Drosophila melanogaster: one gene and its partners. The protein of the gene in region 3 interacts with the protein of the main gene of each other region in a pairwise test. Each region holds a gene or a part of one and is shown on either strand. Other genes may lie near its edges. The genes, in order: Gint3, Membrin, Faf2 and CG4676.

Region 1 (5,483 bases), on a different chromosome or scaffold from region 3:
GGGAAACTTCCAAAACAGGCGTAACATTTGCTCCGCTTATTAATGGCATTATTTATGACTTTTTGAGCCCCGAAACTAATGTGACTAAGCAACAATTAGGCATTTGTTAATGGAATTATGGTCAAAATGCAATTGGCCGCACTTTGTTATTGTTTGGTACAAACATATGATTCTAGACTTGCGTACTCACTAACATTTACATAGCACCAAATAGTTCAGCGATTCGTGCACTTTTCACAATTCCTCACAGCTCACAGTTTAAGCTCATAGTTAAATAATAATTCGTCAATTTCCACTTGCTAGCGTTGCAATTTTTGTTTATTTTTGCAATAAGTAAGACCGTTTGCAGGTAAGCTTAAAAGCCCACCTGAAATACCGCAGCCAAAAAGATACCAAACAGCTGTTTGACGCACAGTGGCTTGAAAGTATGTATTTAGTTAAGCAAATATATAAAAATAAGTTTTTAATATAAATAAATTTCAAGCGAACAAGTAGCAACAGCCAAATAACCAAATTAATTTAAAGAAATTTTCTTTTGTGTAAAGTGCGTTTATAATTGATTTTGAATAATAGATTTGAAAGTAATAAATAACAACAGCTCTGTTATAATATAAGGGACAAATACCGCTGAATATATGGGTTAAAGCACTTCTACATAGCCTGCACCAGCATTAGAAGGTCTTCCTTTAAGTAGTTTATATCCGTTTGCAAAGGAGCGGGTGTATCATTGGCGCTAAACAGCAGCAGAGTGTTCGGAATGAGTCTGAAATGAAGGAAATCATGTAGTGTTGTACCTAAAGAAAACATTATTGCATCACTCACTTGCAGTCATATAGTGTCTTTTCCAAGTCCTCATCGCCCAGTTTGCCATCGCTGTTGGACACCAAGCTAAAATCCAGGCTTTCGTCCGCCAGGCAAGATTGGACAAACTCGAACACATCGGATATTTTTTCGTACACATTGAAAGTGCCCTGAAAATGATTCGGCTTATTACATAAAATTACTTCAGATGACATCATCGCGGAATGGCTTACTTGTATAAAGAGTCCATTGGGAAATTTAACCCTGACTAAAGCGTATCGATACATGCGCAAATTGCGCTGCTCCTCGCGTTCCCGCATCGCCTTTGTCCGCAGCATCTGTGACTGGGCAATGGCCTCGGATCGCAGCTGTTGCTCTTTCTTGATCTCCTCCGGCGACAGGCGATAAAACTCGTCGGGGAGGGCGACACGACATGCCTGCGATGGAAGTAGGACCTTAATGTTGCGATCCAGCTCCAGGGGAATAATCTCCGAGCTCTTGAGAGCTTCCACTAGTGTGGGCAAGTCGAGATCCTTCTCCGTCTGCTCCTTGGTCCACAAAAGGAAGGGTTCGCCATCGATCTGGACCTCGTTGAAGCCCGCTGCTTGCAGAACATCCAGGGCACCCTCCACGTAGCGCACCTTTTCGCTGAAGATTTTGTTGGACATCCGTATCTTGCAGAACTTCTCCTCCTCGGGATTCTTGATAAGATTCTCCAGATATCGGATTAGCGTGGCAATGCACTCGTCGGCCTTCTCCTTAACATTGCAATTGTGGATGATCAGGCAGGCGGTGAGGCCGCGATCTGCCTCCAGCTGCTGGTAGAGGAACTCTTTGATGCGAACCTTCCACACGCTCTTGGGTAGAATCTCCTCGCTGATTAGGGGGCAGCGGAAGAAGACGCCTTCGCAGGCCAGGTTGCGAGTGTCGCCGCCGGAAGCCGATGTGGATGTGCTGGTCGTTGATGGCGTGCCCATGGCTTCCTCTCTCTGGCGACGCTCTGCCTCCAGCTCTCTTTTAGCCTGTGCCTTCACTGCCGACAGCGAGGTATTGAATTCCCTGGATGTTTTCTTGTCAATGCGCGCCAGTGCCGCACTGGCAGCTGCCCTGGCCTCGTTACTTATTTCATTTCGCTTTGGTGGCACATAGGCCTCATACTTTTGGCGGGAACTACTTGAAGGAGTCTCCTGTTTGGGGGAATTCAGCTTGTGGCCAGTGCCCATGCCGCTGCCAGTTAAATTGAGCTGTAAACGAACTTGGTAAGGGATTTCCAATGGCTTGGCTAAAGAAAGAACCCACCTTAAAGGCAGCCTCCGCCTTCTTCCGCGAAAAGAACTTCTTAATCTTGGACATGGTTTCTAGATGCGCGGCGAGTGTTCCTTGGGCAGCTTCAACTTGGCCACCGACAATTTAAGCTCCTCGATTTCCTTGAGCGTGCCTGAAATGCAAGACGTGGCCTTCGTTTAAGTAAACTTATCGTAACATCCTGATTTTAAGCATATTCCTACTTGGCCTGACAAACTTCTCCGTAATGACTTTGCCGTAAATGGACCACGAATAGCCGGCTAGTACGCAGGTGCCCAGAAGCAGCACGATAAGCACCTTCAGCAGTGTCGCCTGCAGATCGGTGAAGGCAATGGGTCCGTTTTCCCAACGAAAGTCACCGGTCAAAGATTCCAGATTTCCGCGCAGATCGACGGCTGCCGTCAGTGCAACGCCAGCAAATTGCTCCACTTGTCGCGCAATCGACTGCAACGTTGAATTGAACGATTCCACGTAGAAATTGAAACTCATTGCCTGATTGGTAAGTGCCAAAGATCGTATTTAATACGTTTTCAACGCAATCCTTTGTTTATATTCGCAGCATTATAATAATTTCGTCAACACTTTTTTCTTTGCTGGTGTGCCCGTTGCTGGTCTGTGTGTAAATACCTACGGGCTAGTAAAAATACCAAATGAAAATGCGTCAACAGCTTACTTATCGATAAAAGTATTTCGCTGCTCTCCAGTGCTGGTTAATTTCCAAATGCTTTGTTTTGGCGCCTGTTTTGAATTTAAATTGTAATTTTCGAATGGGGGGAACAATTATTTATGGATTTCCCTGAGGGTTCTGACCTCATTCGATTTGCCTTGATTTCTGCACCCGCATCCTGTAATTAATGTGTGCACCTGCTATTGACCTTATTCAGTTCCTGAAGAAGTGAATTGAACAATATTTATGGCGTTGTTATTAAGAATATTTTCCACATTTTTAATATAGGCTAAAATATTAAATTGTGTATTTAAATGATTATAAAATTTCAAAAAGTAGCTACCAACTATTAATTTTGCTAAAATATTTGTATATTTAATTCCAAATTTGCAACCTTGGATTCTTTCAAAATAATTTCGAAACCCACCGCTCTTTTTTCACCGTGTGCTTACATAATGATATTTTGTGGAGCACACGCCCATTTTTTATATGCAGGGCCAGCTGTCGTAATTGAATGATTTTCGATCGTTTCGCCAAGTGCTTTTGCTTCCTGTAATTTTCGGCGATTGGAGCCTGGGCATCTCTCTTCCTTTCGCATATTTTGCGATTGATTTTCGATGGCATCCTTGAGTATGTTTTTCGGCCAAGTAGGTAGCAGAGTGAGAGATTGGGGATGCCTATCTGGGGGCGGGGAGATCACGCTCCAGCGATGCGCTGCGGGTTCAACAGCCAGCCGAAAGTCGAGCGGAGGCCAAAGAAGAGAAATCTCTTGCAGCCTATGGCTTCCGTATGCGCCATGCCTCGCGCTCCACTGGCTACGTGGATGCGGAGATGGCCCCCATCTCGGTGTGTTGCTTCTCTCTTAGGTTTTAGGTTTTGTGGCTGCTTGGCTCGTCTCTGGCTTTCTGCAACTTCAATTACGCCAGCAGCCAACAACAGACACAAACAGTCTATTCTATTCCGCTCCGCCTTGCTTGGCTTTATTTATGCTGGCTCATTTTTCCGTGGCGACTGTTAGTTAGGCAAAATGTCGACGACTTATAATTCGAGCAGAGTGTAAGATTTTCTTCCATCGGCTTCGTTCTGCTCTGGTCCGTTGGTTTTCTGTTTCTATATCTGTATGTGTAATCTGGCTGTGGCTCTGTTTGCCATCGCAATCAGCAGTCTGCGCATTTGAGTCTCGAGTCCAAGGCGTGTCTGCAGCCCCATCTTCTGGCATGACAAGAGCACTGTGTCCCATGGCCATTATATCTATCACCATCACGCGATATGTTCTCACTTGCAACCGGGCTGCAACTAACCATCATTCAACGTCATTCCCAGCCATTCCCAATCCCATTCCATTCCAGCCACCATCGCATCGGTTGCAATTGCAGTTGCCTGTCCCCAACTCCTCATCATTGCAGTTTTTTTTTTGTTTTTTGTTTTGCGCAATTAAAATTCCACAAATGCCCGGATGGGAGGGACGGCTGGGGGGAGAGTTCTGCGCACCCAGAGCCATCGAAAGGAATGCAAGAGTGGCGCGCATGCGCCGTCGTCCGGCGTCATTCGCATTGCAATTGTTGTTATCAGCCGCCATGCGCCGAACCTGAAAAACTAGTTCCAATCGCCAGCTGAAGACGTCGAGTTGTGTGTGGCCAAGTCTGCGAAGGAGAGAGAAGAAAACTGGGCTCCCAGCAATGGAGGGGTATGCTGGAATACAGGAAAATATAAAGCTACCAAAAGAATAGATTCAATGATTTCATAACTATATAACCAATTATATTCACAGCTCGAATATGTCATATTTTGAAGTTCTTAAGTTAAATGTTGGAGTTTATATTGCGACGTAAGTATGCTGACTTTCTACTGATATGCAGTACTTGTATTATGAATGTATCTGAAAGATACTCCACCTGTCGATCAGTCTGACGCACCTGTACTCCTCTTGCACGAATTTCACGGTTGGGAAAGCCAGTAAAAGCAGCAACCATTTGGCCAATGCCTTGGCTTTTCTTTTGTTTTCACCCGTGGCCCAAAACTGGTTGTGCCAATTTATGGCCAACATAGCCGTGACTTTGTGCTCGCTGCGCGAAAGTCAAGGTAAGAGACACTGGACACAGCCAAGGGTTTCCTTTCCCACTGACGGTTGTTTTTTTTTTGTTTTAAAAATATTATTTATTTTCTTATCTCGCATTGATAGTGTCTTGATTGGGCGGCCAGCCGAGTCGGTGGAGTTGAAGGCGGGGAATCTGGCTCGCTCATTAAAATTTATGCACAGGAAACGGAAGCGCCGCAGACGACGAGCAGACACACAAAGTCGCTGCTTCTCTAGGCCTCCTGATGATGATGATGGTCCTCCTTGGTGGCTCCGTGCCTCATGCCAAACACCACTCCCCACTGCCCATCCCTTTGTGGCACAATCTTTGGCTACGCAAGCGGCGTGACAAACAGGCAGAAAGTGTCACTCAAATTGGCCGCAAAATTGAAAGTGATGACACGCCCACACAGTCACGTTGCCTTGCATAAGCAAGCAATTGGATGGGAAGTGCAGGAGACGCGGAGTTTACAGGCTACACAGGGAGAAAAACATCTTCATTGCTCATATATATGAAAAAATCAATGATAAAATGTATTATCGATATAATTTAATTAACCATATAATTTGGCTCAATCATTACTTATATTTCCTCCATGTGCAAAGCGCTGTTCTCATCTTGATTGCCGTTTG
Region 2 (3,155 bases), on a different chromosome or scaffold from region 3:
TCCAGAACGTGAGTATGGGTGAATCATCAAAGGACAGCTGACTAAGATGAAAAGTAACCTCACTTTGTCATGGTTTTTTCTGTGCATCTGCTCAATTGAAATTTATGATATATATTTTAAATCGCATTTTCAGCACGATGACGTGCACATCTCCTTCGAGGATCAGCAGCGGATCAACCGCTTTGCGAAGCACAACGCCCGCATGGATGACTTCAAAGCGGAGCTGGAAACGAAGCGCAATGAGCTGAAGAGCTTGGAGGAGGCGCTGGAGGAGATTGAGCTGTTCGACGAGGACGAGGACATACCGTTCCTGGTTGGCGAGGTGTTCCTCTCGCACAAGCTGGAGAAAACACAGGACATGCTGAAGGAGACCAAGGAGCAGGTGCTCAAGGAGATCGCCGGCGTGGAGGCCAAGGCGAAGGTTATCAAGGCGGAAATGGACGAGCTGAAGGCTCATCTGTACCAGCGGTTCGGCAGCAATATCTCACTGGAGGCCGAGGATTAATCCACAATTGATCAATTGTTAATTTAACATTTTACAAAATAGAGTACATTTAATTTAAACTCAACTAAACGCGATGTCTTCAGATTAGAGCACTAGGAAATAGATGATCAGGGCGATGATAAGCAAGGTGACCACCACTCCTCCGATGAATATCCGACGATCCTCGACCAGCCGGCGTTCAATAAGTTTCATCGTGTGATTGGACAGACCCAGTGTGCTGCCTATCGCCTGGATTCTCTTGTGCGCTCCGCCCAGCGTCATTCTCTGCGAGATCAGGCTCTCGAGAATGCCGCTGCCCGAGGCAATCATGTCGTCCACACCCCGATGGGCGTTACCCAGCTGCGTATGATGCTGCAGTTCGTAGTCCAATTGCAGGCGCGTTTCCTCCGGCTGCGCGCTGTTTGCCGTGAATCTGTGATTCAGCAGCTGTTCCCTCTCGGAGATCTCCTGCATCCGTCGCTGTCTTCGTTCCCGCGCCGTCTGCAGTGATGTCTGCAGGTGTCTCAGGTCATATTTCAGCTGATCCACACGAAGTTTGGAGCTTTGTCGCTGCGAAGGTGGCACCTTATACAACAGCACATCCAACCGATCGCAGTTTCTAAACACAAAAGATTTATTTAATAATACAAACTCCTCTTGGGATAATATATATCATTGTAGAACTCACGCGTTCGCCTGGGTAATCTTCAATTGAATGCCGTTTTCCACGTCAAGCGATTCCTGGGCACTGAGCTGACTCAGTCGCTGGAAATCGCGCTCGATGTCCTTTACCACATTGTTGGTTTGGTGGTACAAGCTCTCCATGTCGTTACACCTATTGATTCCGCATTAATTTATGGGCCCGAGAATATTCGCAAATTAATATTTAATCGGTTGCAATTGGTTTGTTTTTAAAAAAGCTGACGCGTTAACATTGGACAGAGTGTCATGTTAGTTAACAGCACTGATAGCAGAGCAGCTGGCTGCCGTTTTTGGTATGACCATATATTATGACAAACTTATCAGCTAATGCAACTATTAAATTTCCTTTTTATTTTCAGAGAATATGCTATATATTGTTAAATAATGATTTTTAATTAGTGACCAAATATTGCACTTGACGGCGCTGTTAAGTGTTACCACTGTTAACGGTGTAAAAATCAGAGTTGTTAAGCAAGCCAAGCAAAACCTAAACCGCACTGGTCACATCGCACTGGAAACGCGTTAGCACACTTTTACGGTATTTTAGCACTTAGCATTAACCACAATGGCGAATACATCAAGTACCGGCGTTGGTAAGAAATAAAATTGATAAATTAGCAATTTGGCAGCTTAAAAATGCGATCCCCGCACGCCCGGAGTTGTTGGCCATCCGTTTTCTGCATTTCCCGCTGACCGGCGGCGATTTTTCCGCCGCTACGGACCCGACAAGCGGACCGCAATGTGATTGTGTGTGTGGTGCAAAACGGGCAAAAAGAAGACGAAAGCAAGGGCGAAAGACGAAAGCCGATAAAAGCGAAATGGGCGAATGGAAATTTATTTTCGCCAGCGGACCACGCTGCTCTTGCAATTTTCCTTGGCCGCGTTTGGCGTTGGAAAAACTCCGTTGCAATTGGGCTTCGTGACTTGACATTTTCCGAAATATCATCCCCGCTCCTTCCTCACTATGTGGCTCTCGCTCGCTCGCTCGCGCACGCTCTTCTTCTTGCCTTCATACTTAAAGTTTTTTCTTTATTTTCCTTATTTTTTGCACACTTGCGTTTTTGCAAGCTGCCTTGTCTTTTCTAATTAAATTAGCTGCCATTTACATTTGCCTGGATTGTTTTTGCAAATGCAGAAATTATGCTTTCGCCCCGCCCCCGCCGACACACCCTCCCCCCGCGCCCATCGTGCTTAATATCTGCGCTTCGCATTTTTTTTTTTTGACTTGTGTTCTCTGCACGAAAATGCGTACAAAGTCACACGGCCGAAAACAAAAACAACACGAGAAGCAGAGCGCAAAACAACAACAACACGTACCCATATGACCCCACACTGAGAGGAAAAGTCGCCGAAATATCACCGAAAATGGTTTATACCATAGAAAATGTGTAGAACAGTCCTTACTAGTTTGTTTCTAAATAGATAAAACTGTCGTTTATAATTATATATATGTATCTTATCTGTACGAGCCCGTGATTATAATTATTTAGAAAGCTAAGTACTTTCTTGCCCCGCCAACCAGAAAATTAAAAACAAGCTGACATTTAACTTAATGACTATATTTAAAGATTTAAGTTTTTCAGTGAAAATGCATTATGTCATCGAGTTCTCACCTCTTTGCCGTTTCACATTGCAGTGGTGCCACGGAATTTCCGCTTACTGGAGGAGCTGGATCAGGGCCAGAAGGGCGTGGGCGATGGCACCATATCGTGGGGCCTGGAGAACGACGACGACATGACGCTCACCTACTGGATCGGCATGATCATCGGTCCGCCTAGAGTAAGTTTCCATATCGATTGGACTTTCCTCGCTACGTCACCAGATAAGCCCGGTTTATTAGGCAATTCTGTAGGATTATTGACATCTTATCGCTTAGATTGCGCAGACCATTCAGTTTGGATAGCACCTTGTATCTTTGAAGGCAGTTTATCTCTTCAGTGCGATGGAATTTGATAATATTTGCATTTCA
Region 3 (5,071 bases):
GTGCGACGTTGCGAACCTCCTCCACGTTGAGCAGATTAGAAGTCAACTGCCGAATTTTCAGCCGCAAGCCAGTGGTTGCTGATTTTCCCCTTTTCCCGGGCAGCAGACGCGTTCTCTCGTCGTCGGTGAACCAGTCGTTATTGTCCTCTTGCTCACTATTATCCTCCAATCCTCGGAATTCCAGCGTATATTCAGATTTTCACACGACTCCGTCGTGACTTTCGTGCTGACTAACAAGCAATGACTATAGGATTCTGGAGGTGGACTCGTGACTGCTGCCGTGAGGGCACTCGACGCACTTTTTAACTTTACCTTTTTTAATCAGTCGCTAGCAATTAAATTGTCAAATCAATTGACATTTCATCAATTAAAATATTACTTGAATAATAAATTAAATTTTAGGCCATAAGTACGTGAGTCGCAATAGCCCATCACCATGAGCTATCGATAGGTACAAATGGCGTTGCCACACCAAAAATTCAAAAATATATTTTGAACTTAAATTTGGTTTTTCCTTTGATATTCAGTAAACTTACGAGAAGCCCATATTTTAGAAAAGCACTTGTTTGGTGTTTTAAAGTAATATCTGTATAACTATATTTTTTATGATCAACTGTCCCGAACTTGTGTATTTGAACGTTCTCACTTTAAATGATTATTTATATCTTCAATCTAAACTCAAATTCAAATTGAATTCAAGCTCTCTGTCAAATAACAAGAATGTGCCTCTATTATTCGTTAAATAGACGGAAGTATAAGTACAGCTAACATAACAACGCATCTTAAATAAAAAGAACTAAATTGTGGTTCACGGAAATTATTCTGGAAACGATTTTTACTGATGTGTGAATGTTTGAGAAACGGGTTGGTTGATGGTGTTGGGCAGATCAGAGAATCAACCTAAACATTGTTAAACAATTATTAATATTAATGTTCATGATTAAATTAGGAATAGTTTCTCTATTTATCCTCCGACTTGGACGTTGACTACGACTACTTAAAACTTGGTTCAAGTTTTGGTAATGCGTTGCTGCTGGTAACACGATGATGCTTTCATTTGGTAGGTGGTGCTTGGTTACGCTTCCAGATCGTTAACGAACAGCACCTCGCGGTTCTTGAGTCCTACGGCCTGAAGGGTTTTGGTCAGCGTCTCCTTGGCTGTGCCTGTTTCCCCAGCGGCATCCAAGTTCGCTTTCGAGAAGAGCACGCGCTTCGGGAAATTCGTTGTGATCTCGAACTCATCCGGCGAATCGGGATGGCAGAAGAGATAGTGATAAACGTCCTGCAATAACATCAAATCATCAATCCCAAATTAGCAGTTTAAATTTGTGTAACTTACAAGCACCGAATCCGTCTGGTTAAATCGGCGCTCTAGGCGTGTTCCACTGGGCAGCTTGAATACAACTGCAATGGCGCCGACAGCATCCGCTGCCGGCTCGGATGGCACCAATGTGGCCAGCTCGATCTTTTGCCGGGCAATCTCCTCCTTGCGAAGCTCGACATCGCGTCGAGCTTGTTCCACAGCCTCCTCCGCCTGCCGGACGGCATCCCGCTCCCTTTGCCGCTGACGCTCCTTCTCCTCGTCCGCAAGCAAACTCTGCTCGTATGCCTCGTCCTGCTGTCTTCTTAAAGTCTGTGTAAAATTCCGCTCTAAGCGATCTGCACGCGCTTGACTCAGCCACACCTCGTTGGCGTTCGTCACCGACTGGAGGCGACGGAGCAGCTCTTCGGGCGTGCAATCCCCCTCGAAACGTCCGACGATCATCATGCGATTTGCTCGAAGGCTGATCATCACCATCGTTGGGTAGCTGCGCACCGTTATCGACTGCATCACCCGGTAGCCCTCCGGCGTGGCTACGTCGCATCCCCATAACAGGGTGTGTGTGTTAATGTAGTCAATGACCGATCTCGCCGACAGTGTGTTGCGGCAGAAGGATTCCACATCTGGGTTCTTGGCGGGATCCTTGTGCAGGTAAACGATTAGAAAACGCAGCTCCTGCTTAGCATCGTTAAGGGCCTGGGCATATGTGCCCTGATAGAAGACCGGGTGCTCGGGATACCTTTCGTAGTATTCCCTAATAAACTTCATCACATCCCCCAGTGGATCTGTCACCAAGCGGGCTTCGTTTCCTCCGCCCAGGTTCACAAACGCACTGACGATGCTCGTCAGCGTGGAGTAGAAGTACTGAAACACGAAGTTAATCACATATCCAATGATGCCGGTGAAGCTGCGGGGAACGGGGCCACTGGGCACCCGGCTAACCGTCCTTCCGCCAGGCATGTTGGCGGAAAACACCTGCTGCAGGAAGCGATCGTTAAGGACAGCGGGCGCTCGGACATCTGTAGAGGCGGCGAACATGGTCGGACGCCCCTCGCGGATATTTAGCTGCTCCTGGAAGGCCACCTGCATATGTAGATATGAAAAAGGGTAAATAAGCTGGTATTTAGTATAGCAGGGCGCCCAACGCAAAATTGTAAAAAACAAATTTAAAAAGAATTTAGAATAAAATGATTACTATCTTTAGTCGTCAGATAATATATATGTACAAAACTTGTTGGTAGTAGTATTCTTGCAGCCACCACTGTATGCAAGACTGCAAGACTACGTGACCCTGTTATTTTGACATTCACTGTGTGGGCATATAAACATATGCATACCTCGAGATCCCATTGGTGTCTGATTAGGACGTCGCGGCAGACGTTCATATCCTCGATGCCGGTGAGATCCTGGAACTGGAGGACCTTCTCCGTCTGTTCGTTGGTCAGTCCATCAGCTTCCATCTTTCCTGCAGTTGAAGGCCTCCGTTCCCAGTTGTTATCGTTGTTGTTTGCTTTTACGCAGTGCGTGCGTGTGTGTGCTTGTGTGGGTGCCAATGGCCCGTGACTGTCTCCCTGGTGTTGTTTTTGTTGTAAGCTGGCCTTTGTCCAGTGGCTCAGCCGCTGCGGCGGGGGACGGGGGATGAGTAGCGTGGTCACTAAATGCTTCTACTGGTCGCCAGGAGTCATTTCAACGCACGCCAAATTGCCGCACTACAACGTCTTTAACATTTCTCGGCAATTTATTTCTTTTTCGCAGGTGATTGCTTGCTCTTCTTCTTGCCTTTCTGCCAATGATCCGATGAATTTGGTTGTGAATGACTAGTGTGACCGCGCAGGCCGACGCGTTCTCACTGCGAAATCCAGCGGCAAACAAACAATTTGTGTTCGCTTTTTAAAAAATTATTTTTATTATTTATTTGATCTCTATGCCTGGCGTGGTAAAACACAGAAAAAGATTAAAAGCAATATTGATATATAATTCAAAGGTGTTAGATAAGGACAATGTGTAGTGGAATCAGCATATTTGTCTAACATCACTTGGAAAATCGACGGACGAGCTTTGGAATTTTCAGGTAATAAAGCAGCGGGCACATTCTTAAATCAGTCCGAACAAAAGCACTCAAATTTGAATTGTGTAAATATCTGAAGAAATAAATCAAAATGCATGTTATTTCCACGTCTAAAAAAACCGTGCTCTCCGACTTCGCGGATCTGGAGACAAAGTCTGAGTATGTGCACCAGAACGCAGAGCCCACGGACTTTCAGTTCAACGGCCAACGCCGGGTCTTCGTGGAGGTGGATAAAATGGCGGGCTTGGCCGTGATGCGAATAAAGGAGAAGGATGGCAAGAGTAAGAGAGAGGTGCGGATCCCCAAATCCCACGTATGTAATTAACTTCCCATTTCACAGCGCCCGAGATTCAACGAGTCCGTAAGCTCACCATCGACAATGCCTTCTGTGTGGCGTGCGCCAAGCAATCCCTGGAAGAGATCGCTGTGGGTCAGAGCGGTTGTGTTAAGCTATACAACTTTCGGACGGCACAGCTCATCCATCGTTTTCCGGCGGACCCGCAAAGGAGTACTGTCCTCTACATGGACTACAACAACACGGACGAGTATATAGCCGCCGTGCGCGATGGCGGGGACATCAGTATCTTGGGTACCAAGACCAAACAGAAGACCAACACCTTCACCATAGATGGCGAGTAAGTTAAAGGCTTGCTTGTTAAAGGATTGCATTGATCTTTCGCTATCCTGTTAATATCAGCTCTACTCTTGTGCGCTTTCATCCGAGCAAACGCTTTCATCTGTCGATCGCTTCCTATAAAGGAGCCGTGACTGTCTATGATGTGCAGGGAATGCGAAAGATTTTTCATGCCAGCGAAGCCCACAGTGCTCCCTGCCGGGACATCAGTATGTGCACATCCCAACCGGCACTGCTGGTCAGCGTGGGCTACGATTGCAAGATAAATATCTTCGACATTCGACGAAATCGTGCTCAGGCCTCTACGGATCGCTTGACCTACTCGCATCCACTATCGACGGTGGCGCTGAGTGAATGTGGCACTTATCTTTGTGCTGGAAACCTTAAGGGCGAATTAATAGCCTATGATATGAGGAGTACAAAGGCTCCGTTGGCCGTGAGGAGTGTACATGATGCGGCTGTAACACGTGTAGCCTTTGTGCCCGTGCCAAGTGGGGATAACCAGCAGAACGGTAGCCTCAACAGCTCCGAAAATGCAACTGGTTTGGCGACCGAAGCTCCTCGTGTAGAGCGTGCGCCCAGCGATGAGTTGCGTAAATCGATTGCCGCTAATTTGTTGAGCACCCAAAACCAGCTGACCAGTCTTGGTTACGGGGTGTCAACACCTACCATAGTTCGCCGGGATTCCTTTTGCGAGTTCCTGGATGCCCAAGGTCCAAGAGCTGTGGATCGCATGTCGACCCGCTTGGGCGCCTCTTACAGAGATAGTTTTGACTGGGAGACGCTCAACCGAAAACCGCAACCTTATGAAACTGCCAATCGTCAAAGTCTTTGTCCTCCAGTGGCGTCTGGCCCAAGCTCGGTGGATAACTCCGTCAACAGCTCCACCACGGAGTCACTGCAACGCAAGTTACTGTAGAGATTATTATTTTTTAGTTATAATAAGCTTATTACTTGCAGAGACCTTAAGCGGCCCACTGAAGGATCGGAGCAACATTTCCGGAGACGGAAAGCTGATGAAGATTGCCGAGACGGACGAGCTCTGCGA
Region 4 (3,313 bases), on a different chromosome or scaffold from region 3:
TCGTTCGCGGTGGTAGCTACGAAAAGGCGACCGAAGTCTTCGCCCACATTGACAAGAACCAGCACAGAATTCCCGGAACACCAAGCCTAAATGCTCTGATAGAATTTGTGGACGCAAGTGTGCAGGAGAAGTCACCCAGCCAGGCGCTGTTTGCCCTGCAATATGCCGTTGAGAACAACTTTGATTCCAGGGAGTTAGCCAAACGTATTCATGAAGGATTTACCCTAAATGAAACACACCTGTCTAAGCTGAAATCGCTCGTAGGCGAAAGTTTCCTCGATAAGTAGTAGAGTCTTTTGTAAATTATATAATGAACGCTGTTAAATAAATAACCATTTAATAAATACTTGTTTGGTTTCATTAAACAGATTAATTTAATACATATAATAGACATTACTGAATGAATACACAGTATTCTAAATATTTTGTAAAGCTTTATGTTAATAAAAGGCTTTGTACTATTTTAACTTGTAAGCTGATCAAATGTGTGACTTGTAAACATTAAAAATTAATTTCCATTGGTCAAGTAGAGAATAGTAAGACGTATAAATTTGGATACTATTTCCAATTCAGATGTTGACTAGTGAGTCTTAAAATAAACAATACTGATTTTGTTATGAAGTAGATATAAGTAAATGCCTCTAATGAATGTCAAGAATGGGTAAGACACAATTCAGATCTATTCCTCCTTTGGAGAAAAGGCGGCTATGGGTTCCCAGTTCATTCCGTCGTGTGGCAGATCGCTGCGTAGAAACGGCGACAGCCAGGTGAGATGCATTCTCTTGCCCAGAACCATCTCCAGGTTACCCCGCAAACCGCGATCGTACTTTCTTGTGCCGCGCTCTCGTGTCACCGAACCGCTCTTGAATATCGACCAGTGGAAGACAAGGAGCAAGGATGATATGGCGAAGCCCAGAAGGGTGAGATCATATATGACCAAGTAGAAGGACTCCCAGCTTGGAGACAGCATCAGGCTAACCACGGGAGCAAATATGGTGAACAGCGTAGACCAGCGCCAGTAGATGTCCAGATGGAGATGCCACAGATAGATGCTCTCCATGATGGCGGCCGCCAAGGATCCGATGATCATGTAAACCAGGTAGTAGAAGAAGTACCTGTAGTTGTGATGCCCGATGCAGCAGCAAGTGAACCGACAGTGGTGGTCCCGCTTCAGCACGCACACGTTGCACACTTCGCAGTGCCAGGATCGAGGTGGCACCAATGTCTGACAATCCTGGCAAGAGTGCCACCGTGCCAGCTGCGCCGCATCCAACGGTGGCTTCAGCAGCTCCTCTATAAAGACAATCTTAGAAGGGATACCACAAAATCACTGCTTGCTACCCACTGCGGATACTAGTGTCCACAAGCATGCAGGCCAGCATGTTGGATGTGATGTTGAAGATGAGGAACAGGCTGGCCAACCATAATAACGTGTACCAAATCCCTCCGATGGCAAACAGTTCCGGCATAACAATGGTCACATGGAAGATGTATGTCACGGGCACAAAGACAGCCACCAGGAGGAAACATGCGAAATCCGAAATGGAACGAGGTTTAACGCGATCCCACGAGCGCAAAATCATCATGCTCCCGTTATTTTTTGTACCCCCCAACTGAGACAGTGCTGCAAAGCGATTTTTGGCTCTGCTGCTAACGGTAAGACTGTTAAGTCGAGTATGGTGAAACGGTTAGAACACAACTCTTTACGTTAGGAAACCCGTAAAATGTTAAATAAGATTGAATTTAACAGAAGCAATCCGGTTTTTAAAGAACACAAATGATTTAATTTAAAGAAATATAAATATATAAGGTAATAATAAGTAACTTAATACGAATAAATCAAATGTCATAAACGATGGTATATTAAAGGAATACAAATGTTATAAGCTTAAGTTCTTAAGTTTGCTTTATATTATTACATAAAAACTTGAAATTAAAAATAAAATTTTATTTGAAATTAAAGAACGACTTTATAATGGGGATTTCTACTGTGAAATTACAAAAACAAAAACCATACAAAATTGATAAGGCATAGCGCTTCGATGAAACTTTGCTTTGTTTTTTTTCTTGGAACTTTTAAAGGCGATTCAATTAATATATACGTGTGCATAATAGGTTGGGGTTTTTTTTTGCGGATTATCGAAAACCATATGACGAACGAGACAATAAAATAAAAGAATATGTTTAACTAAACAATGTAAAGTTTTAAATTGTGAAAAATAATCATTTCCTTGATGTAGAGTGCAAGCAGGTATAAAACATTGCCTAGCCTAGGTGCACTGTTCTTTTTATATTACTTTAATAATTTTTTTCTTTTTTAGGTTTTAAAATTTTGGGAGCGAACTAGTTCGCAGTAAAAATGAATTCGTGTAGCTAGTAGTTTATACATATATACCAAATGACTTTTACTGACAATAAAACAAATTAATAGGCAAAGTAATTTAAAAATGCACAAATTATATGGCACGAAAAACGTTTAACATCGTTTCGCTTCGCGAGTTTTGAAAATAGCTGAAGAATCGTAGCTAGAAAGCAGACGATTTGGCATCCCTGGCAGCAGTTAATCAAACCACTTGCGACCGTAAAACATTCCAAATGCTTCGGTGAAGTTAAATCTTATCGCAGCAGAGCAGTCGCGTTCCACATCGCATTCCGTACGAATCGCAGCCGCAACCGATCCCGCAAATTGGGTAGATCCGCAAAATGTCGGCGACGCACCTGGTGATTCTGGCCGTCGCTCTGCTGGTGGACATCGCATCCGCGGGCGTTCCCCTTCCGCGATACGAGGCGCTCCTCAAGCAGCAGTCCCCTCCATCGGATCCCACACTGGGTCTCTACGACGACGGGGATAAGGTTATCCGCCTGTCGGTCGACAACTTCAATGCTACCGTCCTGGACCAGAATCGCGGAGCATTAGTCGAGTTCTACAACACTTACTGCGGCCACTGTCGCAGATTCGCACCCACGTACAAGTCGGTAGCGGAGCACCTGTTGCCCTGGTCCGAGGTGCTCATCGTGGCGGCCATCGATTGCGCCGCCGAGGAGAACAATGGCATCTGCCGCAACTACGAGGTGATGGGCTATCCAACGCTACGTTATCTGGGCCCCGGTTTCCAGCCGGGTCCTCAGCATTACGGGCAGAGCCTGCATACGCAGGATAAAAACGAAATCCGCGAAATACTAGCGGGTATGGTGGCCGCAGAGAACCTGACCAGCAGCCACAACAATTCCTACTGGCCAAACTTTCACTACTTAACGGAGAACGATTCAGCCAGCAGTTTGTTCGAAGGTCTCAGCAGCGCCACGGAGTACG

The links.
Region 1: the proteins of Faf2 (region 3) and Gint3 interact in a two-hybrid assay, tested with the Drosophila melanogaster proteins (one large-scale study listed by BioGRID).
Region 2: the proteins of Faf2 (region 3) and Membrin interact in a two-hybrid assay, tested with the Drosophila melanogaster proteins (one large-scale study listed by BioGRID).
Region 4: the proteins of Faf2 (region 3) and CG4676 interact in a two-hybrid assay, tested with the Drosophila melanogaster proteins (one large-scale study listed by BioGRID).

The regions. Positions count from the first base shown.
Region 1 is NT_033778.4:18,657,886-18,663,368, forward strand, and holds Gint3 (GDI interacting protein 3), read right to left. Parts: upstream 3,664-5,483; 5' UTR 3,226-3,663; intron 2,888-3,225; exon of another isoform or gene 2,780-2,887; intron 2,741-2,779; 5' UTR 2,596-2,740; coding exon of another isoform or gene 2,310-2,595; intron 2,240-2,309; coding exon of another isoform or gene 2,160-2,239; 5' UTR 2,155-2,159; coding exon 2,101-2,154; intron 2,046-2,100; coding exon 1,035-2,045; intron 972-1,034; coding exon 823-971; intron 764-822; coding exon 652-763; 3' UTR 533-651; downstream 1-532. Other genes in the region: CG42306 (uncharacterized protein), read right to left, coding at 2,160-2,239, 2,310-2,595.
Region 2 is NT_037436.4:5,364,753-5,367,907, reverse strand, and holds Membrin (membrin), read right to left. Parts: upstream 1,454-3,155; 5' UTR 1,310-1,453; coding exon 1,173-1,309; intron 1,104-1,172; coding exon 590-1,103; 3' UTR 527-589; downstream 1-526. Other genes in the region: Pfdn4 (prefoldin 4), read left to right, coding at 1-8, 134-505; Uev1A (Ubiquitin-conjugating enzyme variant 1A), read left to right, coding at 1,752-1,779, 2,823-2,965. UniProt on the Drosophila melanogaster protein: Involved in transport of proteins from the cis/medial-Golgi to the trans-Golgi network.
Region 3 is NT_033779.5:18,705,458-18,710,528, forward strand, and holds Faf2 (Fas-associated factor 2), read right to left. Parts: upstream 3,143-5,071; 5' UTR 2,782-3,142; coding exon 2,659-2,781; intron 2,405-2,658; coding exon 1,340-2,404; intron 1,283-1,339; coding exon 1,076-1,282; 3' UTR 553-1,075; downstream 1-552. Other genes in the region: Grip71, read left to right, coding at 3,481-3,670, 3,730-4,024, 4,087-4,928, 4,984-5,071.
Region 4 is NT_033778.4:13,234,288-13,237,600, reverse strand, and holds CG4676 (uncharacterized protein), read right to left. Parts: upstream 1,622-3,313; 5' UTR 1,587-1,621; coding exon 1,346-1,586; intron 1,294-1,345; coding exon 680-1,293; 3' UTR 546-679; downstream 1-545. Other genes in the region: CG4679 (uncharacterized protein), read left to right, coding at 1-287; Qsox1 (quiescin sulfhydryl oxidase 1), read left to right, coding at 2,704-3,313.